4 linked regions of the Arabidopsis thaliana genome follow. The protein of the gene in region 1 interacts with the protein of each later gene in a pairwise test. Each region holds a gene or a part of one and is shown in the gene's direction. Other genes may lie near its edges.

The links.
Region 2: the proteins of SPL4 (region 1) and AT1G48150 interact in a two-hybrid assay, tested with the Arabidopsis thaliana proteins (one large-scale study listed by BioGRID).
Region 3: the proteins of SPL4 (region 1) and ABR1 interact in a two-hybrid assay, tested with the Arabidopsis thaliana proteins (one large-scale study listed by BioGRID).
Region 4: the proteins of SPL4 (region 1) and AT4G10600 interact in a two-hybrid assay, tested with the Arabidopsis thaliana proteins (one large-scale study listed by BioGRID).

What each region holds. Positions count from the first base shown.
Region 1 is NC_003070.9:19,802,655-19,810,087, forward strand, and holds SPL4 (squamosa promoter binding protein-like 4), read left to right. Parts: upstream 1-3,608; 5' UTR 3,609-3,823; coding exon 3,824-4,122; intron 4,123-4,200; coding exon 4,201-4,426; 3' UTR 4,427-4,688; coding exon of another isoform or gene 4,689-4,736; 3' UTR 4,737-5,051; downstream 5,052-7,433. UniProt on the Arabidopsis thaliana protein: Trans-acting factor that binds specifically to the consensus nucleotide sequence 5'-TNCGTACAA-3' of AP1 promoter. Promotes both vegetative phase change and flowering.
Region 2 is NC_003070.9:17,779,705-17,786,868, forward strand, and holds AT1G48150 (MADS-box transcription factor family protein), read left to right. Parts: upstream 1-5,692; coding exon 5,693-6,664; downstream 6,665-7,164. Other genes in the region: PER1 (1-cysteine peroxiredoxin 1), read left to right, coding at 906-1,023, 1,112-1,260, 1,350-1,478, 1,542-1,796; DPMS3 (dolichol-phosphate mannosyltransferase-like protein), read left to right, coding at 3,698-3,799, 3,897-4,004, 4,151-4,210; AT1G48145 (plant mobile domain protein), read right to left, coding at 4,803-5,108, 5,162-5,209; AT1G48160 (signal recognition particle 19 kDa protein, putative / SRP19), read right to left, coding at 7,075-7,164.
Region 3 is NC_003076.8:25,888,585-25,896,965, forward strand, and holds ABR1 (Integrase-type DNA-binding superfamily protein), read left to right. Parts: upstream 1-2,864; 5' UTR 2,865-3,094; coding exon 3,095-3,533; intron 3,534-4,335; coding exon 4,336-5,072; 3' UTR 5,073-5,304; downstream 5,305-8,381. Other genes in the region: RPN5B (regulatory particle non-ATPase subunit 5B), read right to left, coding at 5,443-5,661, 5,739-5,816, 5,915-6,068, 6,170-6,282, 6,377-6,476, 6,620-6,816, 6,921-6,977, 7,076-7,180 and 3 more.
Region 4 is NC_003075.7:6,544,841-6,552,705, reverse strand, and holds AT4G10600 (RING/FYVE/PHD zinc finger superfamily protein), read left to right. Parts: upstream 1-3,827; 5' UTR 3,828-4,058; coding exon 4,059-4,772; 3' UTR 4,773-4,865; exon of another isoform or gene 4,866-5,037; intron 5,038-5,140; 3' UTR 5,141-5,471; downstream 5,472-7,865. Other genes in the region: AT4G10603 (S locus-related glycoprotein 1 (SLR1) binding pollen coat protein family), read right to left, coding at 872-1,080, 1,674-1,728; LCR2 (low-molecular-weight cysteine-rich 2), read right to left, coding at 6,305-6,519, 7,306-7,366.

The sequences.
Region 1 (7,433 bases):
ACTAATCCGGAAACTTGGTTATTACACTGAATTCCATACAGGGCCAAATGATGTTCCTTATACAGGAAAGCCGATAAAGATATGGGATTCGGGAGAATATGTAAAACATGAGAATTGAAGGAGGGCTCTGTTAGAAATATATGGGTTTATCTGTAATTTGTAATCGTATAGGAGATATATGTAAATAAACAAACATATAAAAAGAAAAAAAAAATGGTGAAAAACAAGAAAAAAACAAAAAGATTTGGTGAAACTTGATGGCGTAACGAGACACAACATAACATAATAGTAAGTGTCCACATGCATAAATCCAGATGTTCCTCCATGTCACTCATCATCGAGCTCATTATATTATTGTTTTCTTCTTCTTTTTTCCTTAAAATGTTAGAAATAAATTGGTTACAAGATGTTTTAGACGTCTGTCTAATTAATATTTTTAAGCATCGATTAATGTATTTATTATTTTTCAGTTTTTTTTAAAAAACATCATTTAATTATAAGAAAAAAAAAAATCAAATCCCGTATCAAAATTAATTTCAAATTGAATTATCATAGGGGGATTTTTGATAAGGTTTTTCCGAAACATTCGATTAGCGTATAGCGGAATTTTGAACATCGGATAAATACAAGATGGCGTTTTGGAATATATTCTATTTAAATTTAAATTTGTTTTTGTCAAGTGTAAATATTTATGACGTAAGAAATGAGAATGCAAATGGATATAGTTTTGTTGGTGTATGTAAAAGAGATAGCTGGATCGCATAGTTAGATATATGAAAGAATCTGAGAAGAAGATTTGTTCCGTTGAAATTCCTATAAACGAAGAGACAAATCTCATTCCTCGTGTGATCGAAAGTAATAATATAGCTTTTGGCACTCACAGGAATCGATTCGAAATCTGTTGGTACTACTTCCAAAACTTTATTTTCACAAGCATACACAAAGATGCTCTAGTATTGTTGAAGATTACTACTCTAGCAATGTTGTGGATAGTGGACCAAAAGTTAATGGACCAATATTCAGATATTTGGTTTTATTTTTTTGTTTTCTATATTGAAGGTTAATTAATAAGTATGATTATCACGGTTATTCAGGGCCGGTCCAGAGGTCACATAAACCAATCAACGATTAGGGCTCAAAAAATTATAGGTTATTGAAAGTTAAACTTTGTTTTGTTTTTGTTCTGATTTTTTGACTTAAATTTTATGAAACTTTCTCACGTTCTTTTCACTTATAAGCTTATTACATTCAAAAATGATTACAAAAATTATAATTTTGACTTTTGAGTAAGGCCTGCCATAAATTTGTAACCGGTTCTGGGATTATTATTAGCATGAGTAATTCATGTATAATGTATTCGACTCATTTAGAATAAACATTATAAAAAATATAAATATGCACCTAAACTAGAAATCTTTAATAGTTTGATCTAAATGATTATACACGTTGTAGAGAAGTAATATAATATTTACGCATATATAGTTTTAAATACCTTAAAATGTTTTCGAATAAAAATATTAACTAGCCATATAATCCATGCAAATCTTGATGATATATGTCTTGAACAAATTCTATTAACTGGCTAGTTGTATATTATAACCCATGCAAATCTTGATACGTGGCAAAACATAAATTTGACAAAATTGATCACTGAGCTCGACAAATCATATAATTTGGATTCTAAAACCAAAGGCATCTTAAAAAAAAAATCAATGGAGGTGTGTAGCTACGGACAAGGTCCTACGGATAGTTACGTCCGTTTTGTTTGCTAACGTAAAAAGAGCGACGCGGGGGAACGAAGTAAGTAAATGCAGAATATGAATAAAGGAAAGAATCCAACATTTGTAAAAGTTTTAATGCGAACAAATTAGTATCATCCATAATACTCTTATCACTCAGATTGAAAGATTTTTTTTTATATAAAAAAAACTGTTTTTAATATATATTCTTCTTCTCGTGGATCATATACATATGTAAAGTTTCCAGGTCACAATTTGGAATCACCTTTTTTGTTAGATAGTCCAAAACTTGAATATCAACCTTTTACTTGAGATGATTCCAAGAGTACCACTTTTATTTACACTAACAAAAACTTTCAAGTTCCAACATATTATAACATTCCAAGAAGTGAATCATTGTTATCACTTGTTTTTACCCATAGGTTATGTAAGTTACTTATGACACAAATTTTACAATTGCACATATATAAGAGAGATGTGACACATGGACAGTCACAACTCACAAACAGAAAACAAAGGAAACAATTGTAAATCGAAACCGAATTGTTATAATGTTTAATGAATATAGAAATGTGTGATTTAATTTGTTTATTACATCTCAATCTAATTCTGGTTTGAAAATCAACCTAAATAAATCTTTCAGGAACAACCCAAACCGGAAACTCATAGGGACAAAGTTTATTCAGTTATGCAAAAAAAAAAAAAAAGGCAGCTTTTGGCTTTGGAAAAGCTAAGTTGCGTCAGGCAAGGTAAGGCAAGGTAAGGCAAGGCAGAAAGTCAGAGAGAGTACAATGTCGCATGTGAAACCTTTGTGTCTTGTCTCTTTCACTACCCACTAATTCTAGTACTTCAGAAACAATAAGACAACAACACTGTAAAATGTTTAAGGAAAATTACACACTTGAGTAAATCAGTGAACTTATCTGTTTCCTGCTTTGTTGGTTCTTTTTACCTATTCAACTCAAAGATTCAAAGTTACTTTCATTTGTTTCACTGACTATTCACAGAGAGTTAATTATGATGATGCCAGTGGAATCTGTCAGTGATTGCTTCTCCACACAACACACTGTAAAAAAGAAAGGAAGGTAAAAGTGAGAGGCTTTTATTACTTTCATGGTGATAACAAGTAAAAGAAAAACATGCATTAGAACTCACAACAAATCTCTGTCTTAAAATGGTTCCAGATATCTATTGCATCAACACTTTAATTAAAGTAAGTGATCTCATTTGTTCTATTTCCATCTTTCAATCTGTAATTCCTCCACTTCTACATAGAATCTTTATATAAGCAATAGTGATAATAATAAATGTTAACACAAGAAAGAAATCAAAAGGGTTAGATCGTATATAAGCATCTACTCTATTCGTTTGTTTGTCCTGGTCCATACACGTGATAATTATCCATGTCTAAAAAACAATATATATCAAACAAAAAAACAGTGATCAGATCCTAAGTTACGGTAAATGCATTTCCAATAAGAGTCTACCAAAAGAAGACCTCAAGGTTGCAAGCAAACGAATTCAATAGTCACATCAATTTATTAGGAGTACTTTTTGTTTTGTTCCTAAACAACAAAAAGATTGTTATGAGTTTAAGCCTATGTGTAAATTATGGACCTTGATGTACTATTGCACACAGTGGCAGGCCAATAAAGACTTCCTCTTAAAGGCAACCAATGATATCATCATGGTAAAAAAGATCTTAAATTTGAAACAAATTTTCAGATTGAACTTCAAACACTAAACTAGGAAAACTGATCTTTAGTTTTCATATTACTATCAATTATTTCTTGAATCTAAATCAAACAAACTAATGAAAATGTTTTTAATACTTATCTATGTAAATCTCTTTTTCTTTCTTTCCCAAACTTTAATTTTTATTTTTCTGAGCTAGCACATCAACGTAATCATGCACTTATTCCACCAGAGAAACGTACAAGAACACAGTGGTCCATCTCCCGACTTTACTTCACCTTTTAAACCCTTCAATTTCGTCAACAATATCATCAAGTCCCATTCCTCAAACATTGCTTAACCTATTAGAGTTTCCTTCCTCCAACAAACCATCTTTATAAGACTCCAAAATGGAGGGTAAGAGATCACAAGGACAAGGTTACATGAAAAAGAAGTCTTACCTTGTGGAAGAAGATATGGAGACTGATACGGATGAAGAAGAGGAAGTAGGTAGGGATAGAGTTAGAGGGTCTAGAGGTAGCATCAATCGTGGTGGCTCGTTGCGGCTTTGCCAAGTAGATAGATGCACAGCTGATATGAAAGAGGCAAAACTGTATCACCGGAGACACAAAGTGTGTGAAGTTCATGCAAAGGCATCTTCTGTCTTTCTCTCAGGACTTAACCAACGCTTTTGTCAACAATGCAGTAGGTAACGTACAACCTAATTTACCCTTCAAAAAACTTTTTGTCTGGATCTTTGAATGGTTTTTTTGAGTTCTTGAAACAGGTTTCATGACCTCCAAGAGTTTGATGAAGCTAAGAGAAGTTGCAGGAGGCGCTTAGCTGGACACAATGAGCGAAGAAGGAAGAGCTCTGGTGAGAGTACTTATGGAGAAGGATCAGGTCGGAGAGGAATCAATGGTCAGGTGGTGATGCAGAATCAAGAAAGATCAAGGGTAGAGATGACACTTCCTATGCCAAACTCATCATTCAAGCGACCACAGATTAGATAGAGAAGCTGTCTGCTCTCTCTCTTCTGTCATCTAAACTTCTCTCTTAGAATCCTAAAATTGTGGTATCTAACAATGTTATAGAGAAATAAATAACTACCACTCTCTCTAGTACTCTCTAATGTTATCAGCTATATGCAAACGCTAAGACTATACTTGAACCTTGAGTGTTATCTTGTATGTTTCAAAGATATGGCTAATGATATGTGTAATACTTCTACCTAGTCGATGTGTGAATGCTAACTGGTAAACGTTTTGAATACAGATACGAGTAAGGAGTGTGACTTATCCAAAAGCACAGGGAAACTACTAACCAAAAGCCACGGTCACTCTGAAGTTTCAGAGCCACGAAGGAGATATATCATCCTAGCTTTTCCTTGCCAACATAGTAGTAGAATAGAATATTTGAATAAACACCTACCATTATTAGTAAATCGTTGAGAGTAGATTATAGTGGAAGCAAACCTTTCAGGGTCCATCACTTGCTATGATGAGAGACTCCTTAGACGTCATCAATAATTATCTTATTCCCTTGGCATGCATGACCAGTTTGCAACATTACCTGATTTTGAATCAGAAATACATATGACTATACTAAAGTTAGAGATAACAGGATTAATTATTAAACAAGAAAAAATGTGACTTTTGAGATGTTCTCAAACAAATTTGGAGCACAACTGCACAAGTAATTGGAAATGAATGTAATTTGCAACCGACCTAATCATCCTCTGCTATGATCTTTACAACCAATAATCGTAGCAACTTTAAATTCTAACAAGTTTTAACATTTAAGTGAAAGATTTTACATGAATTATCAGATTAACCCCCAACATCTATTACTACTCCAAATTCCTAATAACTACTCTTAGAGAAACATCATGTTAAACCTAAGATCCTATCAAATGAACCGATTCTCATGAACTAAACAACAAAGAGGCAAAGAAAGACGAACTAAATGCGCCGATTCAAGTAGTAACGAGTGGTTTTAGACCTTGACGGATTCTTTCCTGGAGAGATTTCACTAGGTAGAATTTTTAAGGGAATGTTCCATTATAAGGCACTTATAACAAAAGTTTGGACGTTTGGGACACTTTTGAGTGAGTGAGCACTTTTCCACCTTTTTTTATTGATTTTGTGACCAATTTACCCTTTACAAACGTGAGAAGGAAAAAAAACTGTAGATGAGTTAATTTTGTTGCCAATTACTAAAAGCAATATACGTGGCATTAGATGGAGATAACAAGTTAAAAATTAATTGTCAAATCTGTAAAAATTTAGTTTAATCAAATATTGTATCAAATAAAAAAATTTAAGCCTAAGTAATATTATATATTCCCAACAAATATCAGATTTTAAACTATGTTCTTAATTATGCATCCAATATATATTGTCCACGTAAACATATCCAAACAGTTCGCATTATATATAATGCTTTAAATCAAATAAAAATATTTAAGCCTAAGTAGTATTATACATTCCCAACAAATATCATATATTAAACTATATTCCTAATTATGTATCCAATATATATTGTCCACGTAAACATTATATGAAATGCTTGAAATCAAATAAAAATATTTTAGCTTAAGTAGTATTATATATGCCGAACAAATATCAGATATTAAACTATGTTCCTAATTACGTATTAACGTATCCAATATATATTGTCCACATAAACTTATCCAAACAATTCATTTTATATATATCAATACAAGGTCCATCAACAAACTTTTTTTTAGAATATGAGACAATATCGTTGACACAAGCAAATGGTTTGTGGTGTGTAAACCTTATACCCTTAAGGCTCTGCACTAAAGCCTACATTCCTTACCCTAAAATTAAACCCAAACCCTCAATTCCTAATACTTATCCACTAAATCCAAAATCGTAAAACAAAACTCTAAACCATAAAATATATTGTAAGCATAAACAAGAAAGTGATAATTTTACTGAGAGATAAAACAAATTCACAGCAAATCAAAGATAACATGTGTCCATTGATGATCGTCCAACAGGTTTAGTCCATGTGGTCATCTAATGACTCACGGGGTCGTTTCATTTCAATACACAAGTTTATATATGAACGATAATCGCCAGAATCAGATTCGATGGGAAAAAAAACGAAAACTTTTGGAATAATTCAAATCGTAAAAATGTGATCTTTACGAAATTCGACCAATATCAATTGCAGATCTAGATGCTAAACATAAAAAACAATGAAAAAAGGAAACAATTTTTTTTAATCAATTTCTTATATCAAATTGATACCCAGAATTAACTGGAGAACGAATCTAAGATATAAGTAAAGATTTGAAGAAATGTAAGATGGAGCATTGGAGATAATGACATAAATCAAAGACATGAACACATGTGCTTAGTGTGTTAGATGGAGAATTGTAGATAATGACATGAAAATCAATAGGAATCATGTGAGAGAGAGAGAGTACTAACTATGAGAAGGTAGCGGAGGATTCTTTTTCGAGCCAATCGCGGATGTGCTTGATGTTACGCCTTAAGATGGTGACAGATTGCTTCACATCGTTTTTGTAATCCGAAACTTGATTAATGAAGCTATCCCAGAGAGCAAAGATTCATTCTAATTTTGCAGTAAAGAGAGAGAGAGAAAGAGCAAAATCTGAATCTCAGATTTCAACAAAATCCTAGAAATTCAATTATAACAAAATTGAGGAACGAACTGATAAGTTAACTGATGATGGGAAGAGGGGGAGAGAGAGATCAAAATCATGGTAAAAGTTTTTATTTTCTTCGCTTGATTGTGAGAGTAAGAGAGAGAAAAGAGAGGAGAAGGAGAGAGACAAATAAAATGAAACAAAAAAGAAATATATTTAAAGGGTAAATGAGTCAAATAACCTATCGAAAGTGTTTGATCTTTTCAAAGTGTCTTATTAGGAATTAACTTTCCAAAAAGTGCCTAATTACGTAATATTCTCAATTTTGTTAACTGCCTATTTCACAACTCTAATTTTAGCCAAATTCGAAAATGCAACAA
Region 2 (7,164 bases), 2.0 Mb from region 1:
TAACTGAGAAATGAGAATTAAAGATTCATAATTTGAACACAAGAAATCCTAAACTGGTACGAAAGAAAAATTGCTCAACAAAAAAATCAAGCTAATTACTCGTATACAAAGACACGAAGAACTAATACAAGAAACAAGAAACAACAAACCACAAAGAGATTGAACCAATCCAAATTCGACAACATAAACCAAGTGTGTGGGTGATTGGAATCAGAGGACGTACCAAAGAAAAGCGTCCGTGATCAACAAAAACCAAAAAGAGACGTTTGAAATAAACCAGAGGAAGACGAAGAATAATTAAGCAAAGAGAAGCGTTAAGCGGGAGCGAGAAAGGAAACGAGAGAAAGAGAGAGCTTCCAGATCCGACAGAAGTTTTCGGCTTCTTCTTTTTCGTTTAAGAACTTCTGATCCTCCTAGGTCTGTCCGAAGAACTAATCTTTTTGAGGTAACGACGCCGTTTTTCTCAAAACATGGGCCCATTAACCATAGTCTCGGCCCAAACGAAACTTAATACGACAATGTTTGGGTGTAAACGCAAAGATTTTGTCGATTATCACAAGTAAAAAAATAAATACAAACACTTGAGTCTCTCTAGACATCGTGCGTCGCCTTAGCTTTAAGTTTTTTCTCGAAACAAAAGAGTTATTTTATTTGAACTTTGAAGATTATACGAAGACACGTGGCGTGAACCCAATTCATAACAACGCCACGCTATACTCTTTTGCATGCACCTCAATTTGAACATCATCAAGTCTCTCTCTCTCTTTTTCTGACTTTGATCCACGAACCTAACCAGCTTGCGATCTCTATTTAATCGGTCCTCGACGCAACTTCAACTTCTACTACATCCATTCACATCAAATCAATACAGAAAGTTTTTTCTATATATAAATATAAAAGGTAAAATGCCAGGGATCACACTAGGAGACACGGTGCCGAACCTAGAAGTGGAGACGACACATGACAAGTTCAAACTTCATGACTACTTCGCCAATTCTTGGACCGTCCTCTTCTCTCATCCCGGTATATATGTTAATATATAGATCTTGAGTTCTTGACTTCTGTTGCAATTCCTTTTTTGTTTTCTTGATTTTTGTTGACGGTCACACAGGGGATTTCACACCCGTGTGCACCACGGAGCTTGGTGCGATGGCCAAATACGCTCATGAGTTCGATAAGAGAGGCGTGAAGCTCCTTGGTCTGTCTTGTGACGATGTACAGTCACACAAAGACTGGATCAAAGATATTGAAGCCTTTAATGTATAATTTAAATCTCATGCATGCATATACCAGACTAGCTAGAGATCATATTTTGGTTTTGATTAATTTGTTACATATGTATGATATAGCACGGAAGCAAGGTGAATTACCCGATAATCGCTGACCCGAACAAAGAGATCATTCCTCAGCTTAACATGATTGATCCAATTGAGAACGGACCGTCTCGTGCCCTTCATATTGTTGGTCCTGACAGTAAGGTAATAATTTCATATATTATTGCATGTATGATTTTATTGGTTAATTGGATTTGTGATATATAGATAAAATTGAGCTTCTTGTATCCGTCGACCACGGGACGTAACATGGACGAAGTATTGAGGGCTTTAGACTCGTTGTTGATGGCGTCCAAGCACAATAACAAGATCGCCACTCCGGTTAACTGGAAGCCAGATCAACCGGTTGTGATTTCGCCTGCTGTGTCGGACGAGGAAGCCAAAAAGATGTTCCCACAGGGTTTCAAGACCGCCGATCTTCCGTCAAAGAAAGGCTATCTGCGTCACACAGAGGTCTCTTGAAAAGATAATAACAAAAGCCTACTATATAACGTACATGCAAGTATTGTATGATATTAATGTTTTTACGTACGTGTAAACAAAAATAATTACGTTTGTAACGTATGGTGATGATGTGGTGCACTAGGTGTAGGCCTTGTATTAATAAAAAGAAGTTTGTTCTATATAGAGTGGTTTAGTACGACGATTTATTTACTAGTCGGATTGGAATAGAGAACCGAATTCTTCAATCCTTGCTTTTGATCAAGAATTGAAACCGAATCAAATGTAAAAGTTGATATATTTGAAAAACGTATTGAGCTTATGAAAATGCTAATACTCTCATCTGTATGGAAAAGTGACTTTAAAACCGAACTTAAAAGTGACAAAAGGGGAATATCGCATCAAACCGAATGAAACCGATATGAAACCGCATCAAACCGATATAGCGTGAACCAAAATGTGGATTAATGACATTTAGACCGGAGGAACATAAGTGGGGACTATACGGCATCGTTTTAGTGTATAAGTGAATTCGCATATTCACGAGTTCCCCGTATTCACCGGTTGTTATATCGTCGATTCATCGTCGTCGACGGCGAGTACTTGTGACCTCCACACCCAGATTAATCTTCTATAACTGATTTTATCGCTTAGACGATCACGATCTCATCGATTAACTGTGAGTATAATCGATTCCTCCTCTTTATTTTGTGTGTTGTATCGATTTACGATAATTTTTTGGAGGAACATCTCCTTTCGGATCGGTTTTGTTGGGAATTTATATTTCTTTGCCATGGTTTTATCTTGATTTGGTGATTTACCTTGTGTTTGTTCTGGTGTACTATTTAGCTAATTTAGTATAAGCTTTCAGATGATTCTAGGAAACTTTTGTGCTACTGTTTTCGGTTTTTGGTGATAGAACTATGTAGTTTTAAGGAACCATATAAAAATTTCGTCTAGAAATGTTTCTATGGTTACTGATCAGTCATCAGTGGTAGCGATATGAAATTGGAATCCTGTTTTTTGTTACACGGTTCGATTCAGATGCTTTCGATTCAAATCCTGTTTAAGCAGCTCAGGTTCTTTAGAATTCTTGTTTTTTAAATGCTTCTTGCCTGAATGTAAGGGATTTTTTTTGCTATTGCTTTGGTTCCTGTGATTGTTTTTCTTACCTCCTCTGATGTTACATGATCAGCATTTGTGAATTTGGATTCTTGGAAGCTAACACAATTCTTAGGATTAAGTTTCGTATGGTCTGAGACTTTGAGTTCTTGACGTTTGGTCTGAGGAACTGTTGGAACTCATTGATTTTGTATCGGTTCTGTAGCTTCAGTTCGGACTTGATCATCTCAGGAATTGGAAATTGTTTTTTTTTGATGTTACAATATTTCGGAGTCAGATAATTTTCAATTTCTTATTTTGTTTATCCCAGTCAGAGGTCATTGTCGAAAAAGTACGGATTGATCTGGATATAGCATGATGGTTTGAGTTGTATAAACTGGGTTACTGAGCTGTTCAGATTGTGCTAGATTCTAGTTTTACTTTGATGTTTGGAAATTATGTGCGCGTCTTTGTGTTAGTGAACATTACACACTGAAACATGAAAATCCATTTGCTTTGTTGAGACTCCATCTAGTTACAACTGATAGCTATTATTGGTATATTTCTTATGGTTTGAGCTTGTGATCAATTTTGGTGGGGTAAATGGGATGTTAATATTGCTCTTGAGGAATATATGTGTTGATCATGACAACTACGAAATTGTGAATAGTTCATTGATTTACTAGATTTTGTTTATTAGGCTCGCTGAGTGATTTCTTTTACATGCTCTACAACTTCTTGGAGAATGCTGTGATCGTCTATGCATTTCTATTCGCAGCTAACTTAAACTCTTTTACATAATTTTTTACTTTAAAGGACAAATGAAGCATATAGTAAAGATCTTGAGCCTGTTGGTGGCTATCTCTGCCTTCTGGATTGGTCTTTTGCAGGCTGCAATTATTCCTCGAAGCCATACATGGTTGGTGAGTAACAAACAATTTTGTCCTCTTTTTTGGTTTCTTGCTTTTTTGAAATTAGGATTCTGTTCTGATTTGGTATTATTGCCGGTCTGTCTTACAGCTACCGATCTACTTTGTTGTATCCCTCGGATGCTATGGCCTATTAATGGTTGGAGTCGGGCTCATGCAGTTTCCTACTTGCCCCCAAGAAGCAGTTCTGCTGCAGAAGGTACTTTTGAGACTAGCTCTTTGTTTGCCATAGTCGGCCTTGTTCTTATTTTTCATCCTGCTCTATACGGATTCGTGTTATCTAATGTTGACATCCTTCAATATTTTTGCTAATTTAGTGTCTTTTATCTGTTTCTTTGGTTGCAGGATATTGCAGAGGCTAAGGACTTCTTCAAGCACAAAGGGGTAGATGTTGGATCGAATTGACACAAAGGCTTTTATCAGACCATTCATCAGAGATATTTTTCGTTATTGACAAAAGACTTAACTGTACTGTTTGGAATTTTTGAATTTAACAGTGTCACTGAGGTAAAACGCAAAAGCTTCGTATGCATCCAAAAGTAATCGCAAAAGTATAACAAATATTCCAAATTGCAGAAACTTATTAGTAACAATAGAAGCATTTACATTTTCTTGTGGTGAATTACCATAAAGCTTTGGCCTTTGTGTCTAGTAAGTTCTCCAGGTATGCAAAAGAGATCGCATCAACAGATTGAATCAGGCTATCCTCTGTACGAAAACTCTGATATGCAACACACCAAGAAGGTATTAAGTCGCTCATAACTGAGTAGGTTTCAAAAGATACAAATGAAACATTTGGAACCAAACCAGTTTTTAAAAGATACTAAGCAGGAAAATCAAAAGACACTGAACCAAAAAGATCATAAAGATATGACTTTGATATTCAACTTGCATTTGCCTTCTCCTTTCTTTATCTGTCCACAACAACACCTAATTCAAACCAGCTGCTTTTCTGTGTGTTTATGGCTCTCCTTTCGTTCAACCATGCCACAGTTCTTTATGCCTTAAGAATACGCTCCTCTATCGACAATGCTAGCACATTCAGCTCTTGAAATCTCTTATCAGTCTTGTCATTGTTATCAACATCACCTTCACCAAAATCATTGTTTCCCTTTTCAGAGTACTGCTCATTGGATTTCATAGTTTCTTCACTTCTGATGCTATCATCATGAAGCAAACAACAATCCTGTCCCTCATTTCCATCCCCTACAGCGATGTGAATGTTTGACTCATCAGATGACTTCAGAACCTTATGCTTATATGCTTTTCTTGTTTCATCTCCATTCGTGCATCCAGAAGCAAACTTTTTATGAGGGCTAGATTTTTTTTGTTGTTGTCTGCCTTTAATGCTAGCACCTTCTCATGCATTGATCCTTCCATCAGCATCTTCCTTCTCTGCTTCATTACATCAAACACTTTGGTTCGAGCTTGAGCTCTCCTCTGCTGACCCTTCAACAACTTTGTTGGAGCTTTTTTTTTGTGTTTGATCTTTTCTTCTTACTGTTTATGGTTGTTTGTCTGATATTGTTGTTGTTGTTTTGGTTAAGGAGGATGTGGGTGCTTGTGTTGTATTACTCTCCAAGTACGATCCTGTTTTTCTTCTTCTTTTCTCTTCTCTCATGCATAATCTGATTCTGAATTTATAGTGTTTGTGTTGATATTTGATGATAACAGTTGTGATTAGATGCAATAATCTTGATGATCTTAATGAAAATGTTTGTTTGGTAAAAATTAAAAAAATTAAGTTTGACCGAGTCACATGATAATACCGACATTAGTATTATCTAATCTCTATATATTTGTGCTTTGCCTCTACTCTCTTTTCACTCTCTCTTTTTCTCTCGATTCCATTATCTCTCTCTGTAAGACACAAAACAAACCCTAATAATGCAGTCGTCGAACGTAACTGATTGCACAATGAGGAAAAGAGGAACAAAAAGAAAGATTGAAATTGAGAAACGCATGACTAAACAACAACGATCCGTCGCTTGCAGCAAACGCCGTCCCACACTCTTCTCCAAAGCGGCTGATCTTTGCCTTCTCTCCGGAGCCAACATAGCCGTTTTTGTAACTTCTCCTGACGAGAACTCCGATGTCGTTTATTCATTCTCGGGCTACTCTCATGCCTCTGAAATTGTTGACTGTTACCTCAACAACAAGTCTCCTCCCAAGACTACTATTAACCCTGAATCAGCCAAGTTTTGGTGGGAAGAGCCCGATCTTTACCGTGATTGTGACGATCTGTCTGAGTTAAGAATCATCGAAGATCGTTTGATGAGAACGAAGAAGCATCTCATGGATTATCTTGAGAAGAAAGAAAAATCACACTCTGTTTCTAAATCCGATCAAAACCCTAACAACGACAGTGGGTCTTCTTCTTCGTCTTCTCAAATTGCTTCTGATTTTGGTCAAAACCCTAGTACCTTGTCTCCGTCTTCCTTAAAAATTGTTTCTTTTGATCAGAACTCTTACTCCTCACTTGAGCCTTCGTCACAAGTTACTACTTGTTTTGATCAAAACCCTGTTTTCTCTGTTGGCAGCGAGTCATCATCTGATCAATCTCGTTACTTGGTGAATGAAGATTCTGGATTTGTTGACGGCCTCTTATGTGAAACAGAGGAAGAGAATAACGGAATGCGTCTTCCCCAAGAAACACAAACACAACCGATGTTCACAGAGGAGGATCAGAGCTTTTGGGAAAACCTAGATGTCGACGACGTGTTTGGTCTTTTTAAGGACGACAACAATCTTGAGGTTCCTCTTCAAGATCATTCCTCAACCAACGAAGACGACGAGTTATTGATCGACATAAGTGAATACTTAAGCGAAGAAGCAATGGAATGCCCATGTTTTAGTTAGTTCTCACAGCTTGATTAAGCACGATCTCATAGTTAATTACGGTTTTAGTTAGTTCATTAGGTAATTACCATTTATGTTGTTGTGTGTAACGATCTATAGATATCTGTTTTATCTCAACTCTTTTGATTCTGTAATTTCGATTTTGGTTATGGCTGTGGTTAGTGAGACTAATTGTGGTGAATTACAATATCTTTATGTTCCCTTTTTAGGCATTCTTTCTTGTCTAATGTCAATGGATGATGCCAAAAAGAAGAAGTAGAATGGTGAAAACAAAGTAGCTTAGGGTTGAAAGAGACGATGTTCTATTTGAAACATTGTTACACCTGCAAACACCTTTGTGTTCTTCTCAGAAAGTTAAAGAGATTAAAAGCCATAAAATCTGATGAGAGAGAGGGAGGGCTTGGCTTGTTTTATCTCTTCTTCTTGCCACCTTTGCCTGACTTTGAAGAAGTTCCAGAGGTTGAAGTTGTGGCCTGAGGTTCCTGCTTCTTCGCTTTCTG
Region 3 (8,381 bases), on another chromosome or scaffold:
GCTCTGATTTTCAACTAAAATTAATTGATAATAAATTATGACCCATACTATAATATATTTTAGTGTTGGTCTCTCTATACAACTAATGTGAGATCCTAACAATAAGAATCCAAATCGGTGTTCTTTTTCGGTCATATATCAAAAATATAAAACACCGTGGTAGATACAATGAATCGAGTAATCAACATAAAGTTTATAATATAGATAGAATAATCAAAGATGCAACGCTTATGTCGTTTCTCTTTACACCGTAGGTAGATACATAATGTTTTATATTAGTACTGTATTCGTTTCGGCTTAGTTCATATATAGTAGCTAGCACTAAAAAGAAGAAAAGAACATAGTAGAATCCGATTTCATGTCGACACCACCTTTTCAACGGAAGTAACCATTTCTTAAATGTGTTTGCGTCATCACGTGTTATTTGCGACTAAGCGGGTGATTAAAGCTGTGTTAATTATATCATTTACTTATCCGTACAGATAAGCTCTGATAATTAACGAGATATTAATTAATAAGTAACGCATTACTAATTTTATTTATATCAATATTTCTAATTGTTTTGTCGTACATCATTTCGATAGACAACTATCAAGTGGCGATACGAAATTGTCAATCGTTGAGATATTTATATATACAAGTGGCCACAGTTTCCAGAATTTATTCCATTAACTCATAATCTCATATAAAACATAAGTACATGATTAAAAACACAACTACTCTAAATCATTAAAATACTTTAAAAGTCACAATTTATGTGAATTTACTTCTTTTTTTCATTTTAAATGGATACGATTTTTGGTACCTTTTGTACATAGATTCTTCATTATTACACATCGCACTTGTGATATCAGTTTTGGGTACCTAGTTTGATAAGAAATTCTTCTTATTTCTTTTCTTGAAAAAGGACAAGTTGATGAAAAAGACATTATCGTACGCCTTAACTTAAATTAAACTGATCACGCCTCGTTCTCCGGTTTTGCCATGTTAAACAAGTTTAATATTTACAAGTTGGATGCATATTCGTATAATAATACGTAACTAATCCGAATTGAATGCTTAATTGACGCGTTGATGCGAACTTAAATAGGGATTAGGTTAGGCGATAGGCACACACAAGCATGGTGAAAACATAAATTTATTTAATAATCACTATGTTTCCGTATTTGGATTGATCTTTGAAGACTCGATCTCTAAATTTGTTTTATTTTACTACTAATTTTTATTTGATAGACATATTTAGGTATTTTTATCGCCTAAGTGATTAAAAGCTACTGTATGTTTTAGTGGAATATAATTAAACTGGATTAGTATAAAACAGGGCATCTTAGTTTCTAAAAAGGGAAATGACCGGTGAAAAGGTTTATCCAGTTTTTTTTTTTTTTTTGTCGTGGTTTATCCAGATTAATTATACTGTCGTACAATATTTTTGTTCAGCTTCTTTAAGAAAATAAACTGTCGCACTGACTAATTAATTAGTTAATAGAGACTTGAGCATCAGCCTAAGAAAAATGTCACATCAATAACAATCGTTTTTTTTTCTCCCATCTTTGCAAATTATGTATTATTAGCTTCGTTAAATCTGCGACTTTTTAACAATACGAAAATGTCTCGTGTATAACAGGTAAAAATAACAACTACGTCAACTTGTGAGCACAATTGCTTAGATTGGTTAAAAACAAAAGTCCAACGATGCGTTTCGAGATTATCCTCAAGTTAACTCTCAACCAAAAAATAATAGAAAATCCAAAAGATATCAATATAATAATTATTCTGCGTTCAGACTAGAATCTACGAGTACATATCTGCAAGTTCTGAAATCTGAACCATCCTGAGCTTAATTGCAAATATGGACAACAATATGTTTTTCTTAACCAAAAAGTTTTTGTGCAGCCTCTATTAGACTCGATTCGGGCGAATAAGAAAACAACTCTTATAGTTAAAAGAAAAACACATCACAAATCCTAAAATCATATTTTCTTCTGAACAATGCGTTTCTATTTTTTTTCTATTTTCTTCTGAACAATGCGTTTCTATTATTTTCTTCTGAAAAATCGAAAACGAAGAAAATAATACAAGGTGTGGGTCAAACGGTCAAAGATAAGAGACGAAGGTTGAAACAAGTGGGCCGTAGGGTGAGGCCCAAACGGTCACGAGCATTAGCCTTACCATCACCGACACCGTCCACAAACGGAGCATCTGACGTCGACCAGAACCGACACGTGCAACACACGCGCATTCGTACGGAACGGCTCGTCTCTCAACTTGACCTTCAAGCTCACCGTTTAGACAAAATGCAAAAATAATCTTATTTTATAAATATTCCATTTAATGGTTTTACCTCTTTTTCAGCACCGAACCGTAAATATAGTAATTAATAATCGTTTCTGAATGCCTCCATATTTTAACAGTGTTTATAACTTCTTAAAGTTTTTACTATGCAAGTTGTCTTATGACACAGAGCTAATATACATAATTAATTCATTACCTTATTTATTTAATTTACTAGACTTGTTAAAGTATTCTTCAGAACTGTTCATAGAGTATAGGTCGCATATAGTATATTTACAAAAATATATAATTACTCACAAGTTGCGAAAAGATTCAGATACGTTTCATATAATAGGACCCAATTTTTTACAAAATTTGTTCAAATTGAGTTAAATCATCAAAACCAAATTTTCTTCTGTTATAGATCAAATTTATAAAAATAGCTATTTGCTATATTATATATATATATATATATATATAAACATTAGTTATTAAAAAAAAAACTGCGTGTTTCCAGTTCACACGGGTACAGAGAGAAGCCGACTCATTTTCATTTGGCGGCGCTGAAACCATACAAAGTAATTAACACAAGAAAATTAAATTTGTATATCTATCAGCTAAACCTCGTCCTTTGTCTTAAAAAACACATCTTCTAAAATCTCTGTCTTTCTTTCTTCCTCTTTGTCTCTGTTTCTTGTTTCTCTCTCTCTCTCTCTACAGAGTTTTCTTTCCCTCGAAGAAAAAGAATATTTTTAAATTTAATTTTCTCTGCGTTTATAAGCTTTAAGTTTCAGAGGAGGAGGATTTAGAAGGAGGGTTTTGTATGTGTGTCTTAAAAGTGGCAAATCAGGAAGATAACGTTGGCAAAAAAGCCGAGTCTATTAGAGACGATGATCATCGGACGTTATCTGAAATCGATCAATGGCTTTACTTATTCGCAGCCGAAGACGACCACCACCGTCATAGCTTCCCTACGCAGCAGCCGCCTCCATCGTCGTCGTCCTCATCTCTTATCTCAGGTTTCAGTAGAGAGATGGAGATGTCTGCTATTGTCTCTGCTTTGACTCACGTTGTTGCTGGAAATGTTCCTCAGCATCAACAAGGAGGCGGTGAAGGTAGCGGAGAAGGGACTTCGAATTCGTCTTCTTCCTCGGGGCAGAAAAGGAGGAGAGAGGTGGAGGAAGGTGGCGCCAAAGCGGTTAAGGCAGCTAATACTTTGACGGTTGATCAATATTTCTCCGGTGGTAGCTCTACTTCTAAAGGTTAGTTTTGTTGGGTTTTTATTTTGTCCTCTATAAACACACGTACCCTGTTTCGGATTTAAACCACATTAGTACACACCATTTTGATAAAATTTTACATATTTCGGTTGTGTATCCACAAAACATAAAACATTTAAATTATAAGATCATTCTATTTGATAAATGTTTTCAATAATTTTATGATGTAGTATATACATCAAGGTATGAGTCACATCAAATGTTTGTAACACAAAATCTAAATACAGTTGCACTTTTGTTGTCCTCACGCAATCTACAAAGCAACATGTCTTATATTTAGTTTTTTTATTCTTTTCTTTTATCGTTTTCTAAAATATGGCGAAGTTAGATATACTTTATAATAATTTAAATATAAAGAAAAATGAGGAATAAAAAATAGTAATTAGCGTAAAGATGTAAATAAATATTTCGAAGTGTTGACAAAAATAAATATAATAACGAAACTGTACTTGATTATCTTAAGACATATACTTTAGAATTGTTGTAAAAAGGTTGGATATTTAATTAAGAAAATGATGATGATGATGATGATATGCCAAAAGAATTTATCTCCCTCCAATTGCATCAAGAGTCGTTTTCCACTTCCTTTTTTTTTCTACTTGTTCATTCCTTTTGTCACCCATTTGCCTCATCACTTTCTCATACTCGCTCTTAAAAAAAAAACTTTATAATATCTTTATTGGAGACATTAATATTATCGATTCTTTTTCTTATGTAAGAAAGTGTTAATTCACGAGTGACAACAAAAGTGTGAAATTTTACATGTTTGTTTGTTTATTTGCAGTGAGAGAAGCTTCGAGTAACATGTCAGGTCCGGGCCCAACATACGAGTATACAACTACGGCAACTGCTAGTAGCGAAACGTCGTCGTTTAGTGGGGACCAACCTCGGCGAAGATACAGAGGAGTTAGACAAAGACCATGGGGAAAGTGGGCGGCTGAGATTCGAGATCCATTTAAAGCAGCTAGAGTTTGGCTCGGTACGTTCGACAATGCTGAATCAGCAGCAAGAGCTTACGACGAAGCTGCACTTCGGTTTAGAGGCAACAAAGCCAAACTCAACTTCCCTGAAAACGTCAAACTCGTTAGACCTGCTTCAACCGAAGCACAACCTGTGCACCAAACCGCTGCTCAAAGACCGACCCAGTCAAGGAACTCGGGTTCAACGACTACCCTTTTGCCCATAAGACCTGCTTCGAATCAAAGCGTTCATTCGCAGCCGTTGATGCAATCATACAACTTGAGTTACTCTGAAATGGCTCGTCAACAACAACAGTTTCAGCAACATCATCAACAATCTTTGGATTTATACGATCAAATGTCGTTTCCGTTGCGTTTCGGTCACACTGGAGGTTCAATGATGCAATCTACGTCGTCATCATCATCTCATTCTCGTCCTCTGTTTTCCCCGGCTGCTGTTCAGCCGCCACCAGAATCAGCTAGCGAAACCGGTTATCTCCAGGATATACAATGGCCATCAGACAAGACTAGTAATAACTACAATAATAGTCCATCCTCCTGATGACTTGCTTCATTTTATTTGTTTCACTATAGAGTAATAGAAAACAGGAAAATGATTATATGTTATAGAGTTATTTTTCCAAATATTATAGGGTTTAGGTTGTTTGTATTGTTCTGCTTTCATCCTCTCATGCTTTTTTTCTTAATTTATTATATTTTTGCATTATAATTTCGTTTCATTGTAACAAACATTAAAAAGACCACATGGAGAAAGGAAAAAAAAGAGAGTTTTGTATATAATCTTGCAAGGTCTCCTAAAGAACACAAAAAAAATGTGTTCGAACCAAGCAGAGAAAGAAAACTCAAATGATTATGTTAGAACGAGAGCCTGAAAGATTCTTTCCACCGATGTGTGTGGCTAGACCGGGTTCTCAAGCTCTTAGTGCAACTTTATGAACCATTGTTTCTTTGTGAATTTGGTGACAACTCTTTTCAACAAGATCCAAAAGCTTCTCCAAGTTTGTTGCCCACGAGTTGAGGATTTCGTTGCTGTCTTTAACAATCTGGAAGCAGATTATTCCTGATGGTCTGTCGATTTTTGCTATCAAGGCTTTGGACACAACCATTTCAGATAGATGCTTCTCTGCTTCCTGAAATATAATGAAACGGTAAGAAGAGATTTAAACATGTACTGGTACACTTAAGAGTATTTTGAAACTATATTTACCTCAGTGGTTAGGCATAAAAGTTCTGCAAGTCTCTTAAAGGTAATCCTTGAGTAGTACTTTGAGACAACGAGAATATTCTGCAGAAGATGTGAAGAATTTGTAAAGTTAAGACTCTTCAGTAACAATTGATGCAATCAAAGAGGTAAAGATAGATTAGAGCTCAAAGAGTCTTTACGTGTTCGATTATTCTTAGTTTGAGATCTTCACCAGCTTTGTCACCCAAAGAGCCTCCAATCATGTTTTTCTCATTCTCAAACTCGTCCTTGTATTTATTCCAGAGAGATGTCCACTGAATCACCTCCATTGTAACAATCTGTTTTAGAAGCATCCTGCAACAGAATATAAACATAGGGATTGAGAATCTGTTTCAGATGGGAACGAGGGGAAGAGTAGTGAAAACCCAAATTTTTATCAAGATAAAGAGAATTACTTGAAATCAGGAATCTCTGATAACTTTTTATCTTCCAAGGTTGCATTGAGTAGGCTCGATTGCATTGGATCATGTGGTGCCAAGGCCAAAAACCAGCAAATCTTTCTCAGGACCTATATTTAGAGGATCAAGGGAGAAAAGTTAATCCAAGCTAATTACAGAACGTAGACTACCACAAGATCATCCAAACAACAATACGAGACTTACTGGAATCCATTGTTCTGGGTTTTCCTTTACAGAAGGGATATCATATATCGCCTTGTAGCTACGGCATATCTCAATGTACTCATTGTTGTGAGAATAATACCTACACAACAGAATCAGCACATTATATTTTTACTATAAAGATCACAGAAGTAAAGGGAAATCAAAATTCAGAGGAGAATAATATTCAAATATTTTGACACCAATAACTGGCGAAGAATGTATTAAACCAAATCAAGGACTTACCGAATCATTAGCTCATAGTAAATCCGTTTTAGCACCAACAATGTAGGTATATCAGCCGGAGCCTCCTCTACCATGTTTTCACCTTCCTTAGGCTTCTTTTTCTCCTTCGTGGTATCTGCATCAAACACTCTTGGGTTGATCTTCCTAGATAAAATTTGTGCACGGACAAAATCTTTTTGATCCAAACACAAGCGGACCTTCAGAAGTTTACACACCAATAATTAGAATCACAACATACAAACAAGAACAAAGCACAAAGCACAAAGCTTAAGAAATATGAAAAGATAACAGAAAGTCTTACTTGTTCAAGAATGAAAGCAATTTTCTCAGTTTTTGCCATAGCACCAAATGTCTCCACCTATAATTCATAATCACAATCAATGCACATTGATAAACTATAAAATAAATAAAAAACGATTTCCACGAAAGTTGGAAAGTAGAGGAAGAAAAGCTTACAGCAACTTCTTGCATGAGATCCGCAGCTTCAGCAATCAAACCTTGTTCTTCCTTAATCTTAGCAAGCATCTTGGTCAAACGAGCTCTCTCGATTTCGACATATATCTACACATGCTCACACACACATATTCATCAAGAAAAAAACTTGCACGGAGTGATCAAGATTCAAGCAAATATAACTACAACAACAACAACAATAGCCAACTCTAATCCGCACCTTTCCAGCAGCTACATTGTTTAGAGTCTTAATAAGCTCAATCCGAGTTTCTATGTCTAGTGTCTGATCAATATACTGCATTGCTTGTTGCACCATGGATTGTACAGCCTGCAAATCAAGAGACCTAACCACTTTCAATATCTCACTCAGTTCTTCATTCAATTTCTCAGTAAGATTCAGAACTCAGTAGAAACCGTTCCAAGTAATCGAAAACCTTAAACTACCACAAGCAGGTTTCAAAAGCTAAATCGATAGAAAGTAGTGTGACCTGCTTAAGCTGACCACGTTTCTTCGAGAGATTCAAAATCTGTTCGTTGAGAAGTTTCCAATCCTTAGCTTCGAAACAAAGCTTAAGAATCTCGGTAGCTGCTTTTCTAGTTCCGGCGACATTTTCTGCGAGCCTCATCTGTTTCTCTTCGTTCAGCAGCCGATCAATCGACGATTCGAGTTGTCTACTTTCTTCCTGCAATCAAATCACGACATCGAATTTGACAAACCAAAATTCGAACGGAAGAGAAAAGAGAGAGAGAGAGTTGAAAATCAGATCTGTGAAATCGGAGACTTGCCATTGCTAAACGCCGGGAATCAATACTCCGAGAGAGAGAAGAAGAGTTAGTGAAACTTTCCGGTGATGAAACAGATTTAACTTCTAAAGGTTCACTGAGAGAGAGAATGTTAGCGTCGAAACCCCAACCCCTTGAACAAGAAAAGCTTAGCTCAGACTATTTGGGCCTAATTATAACGTTTTATTTATTGGGACTTTTAACGAAATAGTGTAAGACTTTTGGTGTACATATGTAATAAAAGTATCTATTGGGTCTATTAGGTAAATATTGAATAAACCTACCTGTCGCCTGTAGGGTCATACCCAAATAGCTGTTGGGTAATATGTTATGAACGAAACTATAGGATCCATTTGTAATAAATGAAAATCTAAGGTCCATATGGCCCATTTGAGTAAGTTTTTTAAGGCCCATTATCGCTCGAGCCTCGGCAACTCTCTAACAGTAACAGAAAATCCATCAATTGCTCGGATTTATTTTTCTTTCTTTTGAATCCTTCCACTTGCAGTAGAGAAATTTCACCATG
Region 4 (7,865 bases), on another chromosome or scaffold:
GTATAAATACCATAATTAGTAAATCAATAAAAGCAAGTCAGTTGAATACCTAATTCTACATTATACCAAATACTCCATGCTCCATGCTCCTGTTAAAATTATACCAAATACTCCATGCTTGGCACATTTCTCTACGTAGCATGAAAAAAAAAATGAATGCATGATGAAAAAATCACGATGGAATTATGTTGGATCAAGTCATATGCGAATCATTCCTCAGAACTATATGTAACATTAAAATGATCATAAGTACAAATACAAACCTTGCACAAAAATGTACAAATATATATATATTTATATACATTGTTTTTAATTTATCGTAACAAAACAATTACACCCATTATTGTGCTTTATGATTTTGTAGTTGGCAAAAAAATGATTTTGTATTTTTGATGCGGATTATGTCTCATGTTGAAGACATTTCATTAATATTTAAAATCATTGGCTGCTATTCATATATTGTACATTATAAGTAAAAAAAAAATTGAATGTAAGATAAAAGTAATCGTTCATAAAATTAATTATATTTTTCATAAAAATTTATTTGAGTAACTTTTATCCTCAATTTAAAACGTAAAGGTTTTGAGAATGAAATTTTCTTTTAACTTTCTTTTATTTCTTCAGTATCCTAAGTAATATTTTTTCTTTTGGCAACTCTAGGTAATCTATTTTTTTATAACAATAATAAAATTTATCATCTACAACACACTAATCCATACAAGAATTTGGTAATAACACTAATAGAAATGACAAATATTTGTTTGATTTTAATAAGACATATTATATAATACGGAATATGAAATGATTTTTGGATGTCAGAAAAGGAGAAAAACAAATGATTATTATTTTAAAATAAATAAATGCATCAAAATTATCGGCAACGAAAAGTGCAAAGACATCTATTTTCACTAGAGCAAATACCCATTGCCTTGCCCCCTTTAAACTCAAATTGCTTCTGCTCCTTACACCTAGCCGAACAACGGTCGTTATTACATGGTCCTGGTTTTTGGTTAGGTAGAGGCCTTTTGCACCAACCTTCTACCGGGTGTCTTTGTGGCATACTATCCATCAATCCTGTTACTGTTATATATTAAAGATGAAATATTAGTTTTTTTTTTGGTCTTATAAATATAGACGTTTCCAAAAAATTTATAATAGCAAAAATTGTAAGTTTAACATTGAGGTAGTTCAAATGTCATAAAAATTTACTTATAAATATAAGATATATGTATTTAATGTTTATGAAAACAATTATCATGGCACATTTATCTATGTGGAAAGAAAAGAAAATGAATGGATGATGAAAAGGCAATAAAACAATATTAACGTATATGTTCAATCAGATTATATCACAATACTTCTTCTTAATATATTATCACCATAAAATTACCTAATTAAATTGAAAAATAGGTGAAAATATTGTTAAAAAAAACTGTTTGGCTATCAATTTTCTAGGTCTAGCACTAAATAGTTACGTATTAATTTTCTAGTTCTAGTATGAAATTTCCATAAAAGTCCTAAATTCAATATGATGAAATTTTTAATTGAAAATTAATTATGACACATATTATATAAATATTGCTGAACAGATTTTTTAAAGAATTTATTCAAAATAATTAACTTAAAATAAATAAAAATTACATATAAAAATGATTATAAATGAAAATACAAACCTAGCAGAGGAATGACAAAAAGAATTAGAACTGTAAATGAGAATGTTTTTTTCATTTCGATGATAGAAATCAATTGATTGTTTTTTCAAAAAATGATTGTGAGTTTAGAAATGAAAAGGAAAGAAAAAGTTCACCTACATATATAGATGTACCCCACATTAGAACATGTATATTTTAAGCTATCTAACTCCTTAAATTACTCGTTGATTATCTAAGATAATAAAAGCATAAGACTCGCTCTACATTTACAAAATAGTTTTCCAATATATATAACTTATAAAATTTATATATTTGTCCATATATTAAAATACAATTTTTAGTGCTTTTTGTGGCGAATCCTTATTTACTCTCAACCATTTTTATTTTTTCCTTTCTAATTCTACCATTGCTCTTGCCAAACGCTTTCATTCTTTTATCTTTATAATTATTAATTATAATATCCTTATAATATTGTAAAAAATTTAATAAGCTATGATATATATATATAGTAAAAATAAAATAACTGGTTTGGTTTCAGTTTGGTCCTATCGAGTTCGGATTAAGACTTTGATAATCTATAAATACTTGAGTTGACTTATAATTATCATGATAAAGTTGAGCGGTGGTAGTTCAAAGAATTTTTAGTCTCAATCCATATAAGAAAGGATAGGAACAGAATGCATTGATCCATTAAAGGAATGTCAAAAAATTTCAATATCACTACATTTAAGGAATGTCAAACTTCTTCTAACTACTTTTTTAACTACCAAAATCTGAACAATTATCAGTTTCAAAATCAATCTCCTAACAATCCCCAATTTATGAAGGCTTATAGCAAAAATAAAGACTTGTTTTAATTAATTTGGACACAAAAACCCCATCTTTTTAAATTAAACTTTTGCTATCATCCTTCATAAACTCTTGTTTATTTTTTATCCGTCTTTTTAGTGAAATAGATCATAATAATATCATTTTAACTCCCAAAATTTTTCTAATTACCTTTTTAACTACCCAACATCAATCTCCTAACCATCAACATAATATAACAAATTATGGTTATCCACCAAATTTCTTTATATCGTCAACTGTTCCAAACTATCCTTCATATTTTAAAATATTTAATTTTTACTTATTTTAATTTTATTTGATATTAATTGTAATTAATTAATCACAAAAAACATAAACATAATTAAAATAAAAAATATAAAATAATGGTAGGGTAATGTGTTGTAATTTTATTAAACAAAACTATTGTAGTAAGTAAAAATTATGTAGGTATTGAATTATAATGTGGAGTGTTGAAAAGAGAAAAGTGGACATTGTAACCATGTAACTAATGTAGATAGTCTAACAGGTACACTAGTTGTACATGTTATTTTATCAACAATAGTTCTCTTCCTACTAATTAGAACAATTCAAGTCTAGTATCCATATATTATAATATAACATCTTACTAGTGCATGGGTTATTCAAAGATTCAATGATCATACAAAACATAAATCTACAAACTAAAATTCCCAAATAAAAATCATAAATCAAAGCCATCTCATTGAAGTTTCAGCTTTAACAAACACAAAATTAGCATAAAAACGATCAAAGAAAAAAACCTAAAAATCAAAACTTCAACTTCCAATATCTCTATTCCAATATCTTTCCTTCGATTTTTCTGTATGTCTTCCAAATTCTTTTTGTTTCCCTAATTGCTCAAGAAGTAATATCTTCGTCATTCTGTTTTTATTCAAGGTACATAGAAAGATTGATCCTAGACTACATCAAATTGGGTGTAGTCAGTGATATAGCTTCCCCGAAGTTAGCGGTTTTCGAAATCTTTTTGAAGCGGTTTCATATGATCGACCCAGAAGATTTTGGTACTACGACGTGACGAGTGGTTTTCAGAAGAACACATCTTCTACACGTGTCTTTAGGCTAAATTATACGTGCAAATATTTTTGCTAACTTCATTATGATTTAGTTATTTGACCGTTAATTTCCGCTTGTATTCCTCTTTGAGCTTGACCATTCTGTTTTTTATCTGCTTTTGGTTTTTAAATGAAATCGTTTGGTCCGTCCACAAAAAAAAAACAGTACCTATCCTCTAAGCCCGGCCCATCCCGGCCCATCCCGGCCCATCCCGGCCCATCCCGGCCCATACCGGCCCATATTTTAGTAATTATGGTTCCTATCTTCGTCTTCTTCGTTCAGAAATGGGAAGCGAGAACCATAGATTTACGTCAAGATAGCTTTTTTTCTATCAAGAATCGCAAAGCTATTTCGCGTAACATTACAATCGTCGTTCAGAAGAAACGAATTGGGTTTGACAAAGCTTCGATATTCAGGGAGATTTCTGGGTTAATTTGTGAAAGAATCAGAGAAATTTAGAGTTTTTTTTTTGGGGGTAAATTTGAGATGAAGCCACACGAAGATTGGGTTTATGAATCATGGACAGTAGATTGTGTTTGTGGTGTGAATTTTGATGATGGTAAAGAGATGGTTGATTGTGATGAATGTGGTGTTTGGGTTCATACATGGTGTTCTCGTTATGTTAAAGGTGATGATTTGTTTGTTTGCCACAAGTGTAAGATAAAAAACAATGAAGATGAATTGTCCAAGTTATCGGTTACTAAATCGTTGAGAATGGAGAATTTATGTACGCAGAGTAGTGAGAGTGTTGTATTGAAGGCTTGTTCAGAGATACCAATTGAAGAAAGGGTTCATGTACAAGGAGTTCCTGGTGGTGATTTGGGTTTGTTTGAATGTGTTTCTTCGGTTTTTAGTCGGCAGTTATGGAAGTGTAGTGGTTATGTGCCTAAGAAGTTTAGGTTTCAGTGTAGGGAGTTTCCTTGTTGGGATGAGAAGGAGAATGTGTGTGATGTTGTTGGGGATGAAGATGATAGTAATCTTGCTGGTGTTTTGTTGTCTATGTCGAAAGAAAACGGTGTGGATGGTAAGGGAGACAATGCTAGGAATTGTGGTTCTAGAGAAATTGAGAGTGATGTAGAGAAAGAGAAGAGCTTGCTTTGTGATCCTTTGAGTATATATAAGAGGAGAAACGAGTCGGTGGGTGGTTTTGAAGATGGGGTAAAGAAGAAGGTTAAAGTTGCTGATAAAGAGGAAGAATAATGATGTAAGAAGGCTTTGATTTGGATACAGAAGAGGCATTATGTGTTACACAACCAACATTTCTTATTTTAATAGATTTCTTACACAAGAATGGTAAGGTTTATAACTTTGTCACTAGTTTAGATTCTTAACCTTATATTCAGATATAACCACAATGGTTCATGGTTTCATTTGTCTTTGCAATCAACTAACAGTTGTAGGATACTTAACATCCACATAATATGCAATAAAAAGTGTAAATTCTTTCCATTGATGATAAACTCGATTGCTTGGTTTATAAGTTTGTGTAGGTCAAATTAGGAGCAAGAAAGGCTTGTTTTATCTTGATGATTAACTCAATCTTAGTCATTCATGTGAGCGGTTCGCAGTTTCAGGATTAGTAGGCGCTCAAAATCTTGAAGGCTTCGCGGACTCTCCTCGCCCTCCGTCCTTCCATAGATGAAGTTGAATTCTCTGACAATTCTCACCATGAACAATTTTAGGTGATTTCAAATAGATAAGAAAGCTCTTGTTGGAAGGCAGTGCACTAAAGGGTCCTGATATCCTACTTGTATTCCAAAAAACTCTTCTCTTGAATATGAAAGGCTGCAAAGCGTTGGTGCGACTTCCAAATTGTTTCCGGAACTTACGGAGTATATGCAGAATTTTGTGCTTTATGGAACAAGAATAAACTTGAAATGCCAAAGTTATTGCATTGCATTGAGTCTGTTTTATGCTTAAGTGCAACTGTGCAAGCTAACATCAGCCATCTGATATGGCTTTACTTCAAGAATCGCTAGAAGCTCAAATCTTAAGTGCCACATGGTTTATGTTTGATGTTTTGTGTCGCTTGGTAGGCACATATTTAGTGGCCATTGTTGTAGGATCCAAATCGCTAAGTAAAAGAAAAGTCTCAATTCTATATGAAACTCATGTAAATCCATTAAAACTCATTGGAGAAAAGCCCTTAATTATCCATATAAGCCCGTAACGAGAGAGTAAACCTAAAATTTCGTTAGACAAAAAGAAAACCCTAGCCGATTAATATCCTTATAAATAGATAGGTAGTCTCCTTAATTTTCTCCTTAGTCAAAATCTTAGAGAGAGTCCGAGGAAACCCTAGCCACCGTCGTTGCCGTAACTCGTTCGCCTGAGGATAATGATCAATTGGGTTTATGCTAGAGTTAAATCGGGTCTTGAAAAGAGAAGGAAGTTGCATGCGACTCCTTTATCTCCTCAGCACCCTATCCAACTCTAACTTCAACCCAATCGATCATTTTTCTACAGAGCTAGAGTTTTATTGAGATGCTCGGATCTGATCTCTTCTTCTATGAAGGTGATAAAAGGATACTATATCAAAATTCAATAAAGACACTTGTACAAGTCAGTCACTACTCACTAGGAACAAATATTTTATTTGATTACCATTAGTACTAGACGTATAGTATCACTATGTCACTATGATATGAGTTTTACTGAAATGAATTTCTATAATTTTCGAAACTTTTTGAAAAGACTTATTTTAAGGAAATTTAACATTGATTCCTTAAATTTCATGGTTGGCCTTGAATCCATGGACAACGAAAATGGCAGTTGCACTGGTTACGACATGTAGCCTGAGTACCATTCCCTTTCCACTTCTGCCTACATTTAGATTCACAATCTTCGATGACACATTTCCCTGTTTGTTTATGGGTAAGTAGAGGCCTAGAACACCATGTTTGGTTCATTTGTCTTCTTTGTTGTAAATTCCCGATAACTCCTGTTACTAGTAAATATAAAACAAATTATCAGTTCTTGTAATGAAAAAAAAAATTTTATTTTGTTTAGTAAAACATAGTTGTGCTACAGATTTTTCTGAATATTAATAACATATTTACAGTAACAATTTTTTTCAATTGTCATTAGTTTTGACGAATACATAACATTCTTACTAAAAAAATTATATAAATTAAATTTTAAATGTCATATAATTTTACTTTAAACAAACTATAACGTAAATATTATGAAAGCAGAAAAATGTAGCTAGACATATTATCAAATAGTTTATCTCTAACTAAAAAATAAATTATATAGAGGTACTTTCAAAATATTCTATAAATTTACCCTTTTTAAAACAAAATATTAATATTTCTTATACAAAACAGATCTAGCTTAATACATTTTCTATAGGGCACAAAAAAGAAACTATTGTTAATGAAAATGAAGCAAAGAAAACATGTCGAGAAAATGTATAGCAAATATAAATTTTCGTAATATAATAAGACCATTAATATAAGAAATTAACCAAAAATAGGTGAAGAAATTTAAACTATACGTTTTGGGTATCGGTTTTCTTGGTCTAGCACAAAATGTTTTACTCAATTTTTATGTTTTATATAAAGTTTTCATCAAAGAGCTTTACTCAATAGTCAATATAATGTAGTTAGATAGTGAAATTTTTAACTTTGAAACAAATTTTATATAACATAATTGAACAAACAAAATTATTATATGATATTTGTATTTATTTGTTTTAAAAAGACTATATGTTACGTATAAAATAATTACAAACCTTGCACAAAAATGACGAAGAGAGTTAGAACGGTAAACGAGAATATAATGTTTTTATTCATCTTAGCTGATATAAATGATTATATATATATATATATATATATATATATTTTAATCTGAAAATTGATTGTGTTTAAAAAGAAAAAAAGAAAAAAAGAAAAAAAGAAAAAAAGAACGAAGAAAGCATACATATATATAAGAAGTTAGGTATATCCCACATTATAACTTATCTATATTAAGCCATCTATCTCCTTAAATTCCGATTGAGCTTTTTACTCATTTGATATGTTAAAAGCTTTTTACCAGCTAGTCCTATACAAAATATTTTTCCAAATTAAGTAAAAGTGATAAATTAGTAAAATTCATATATAATTTAGAGAATAGATATACTAAAATGGAAAAGGTTATAAAAATAGCATTTTGGTTTTCATAAAAAGGAAAAATTAATTTAGAATGTAACTATTGAAATAGACTTTTGTTTTTCAGTTTTTTTGTGCAAATACTTGATTTCATTCATTCAATCAAAACAAACCAAATCAAAGTACAATGATAGGAATGATT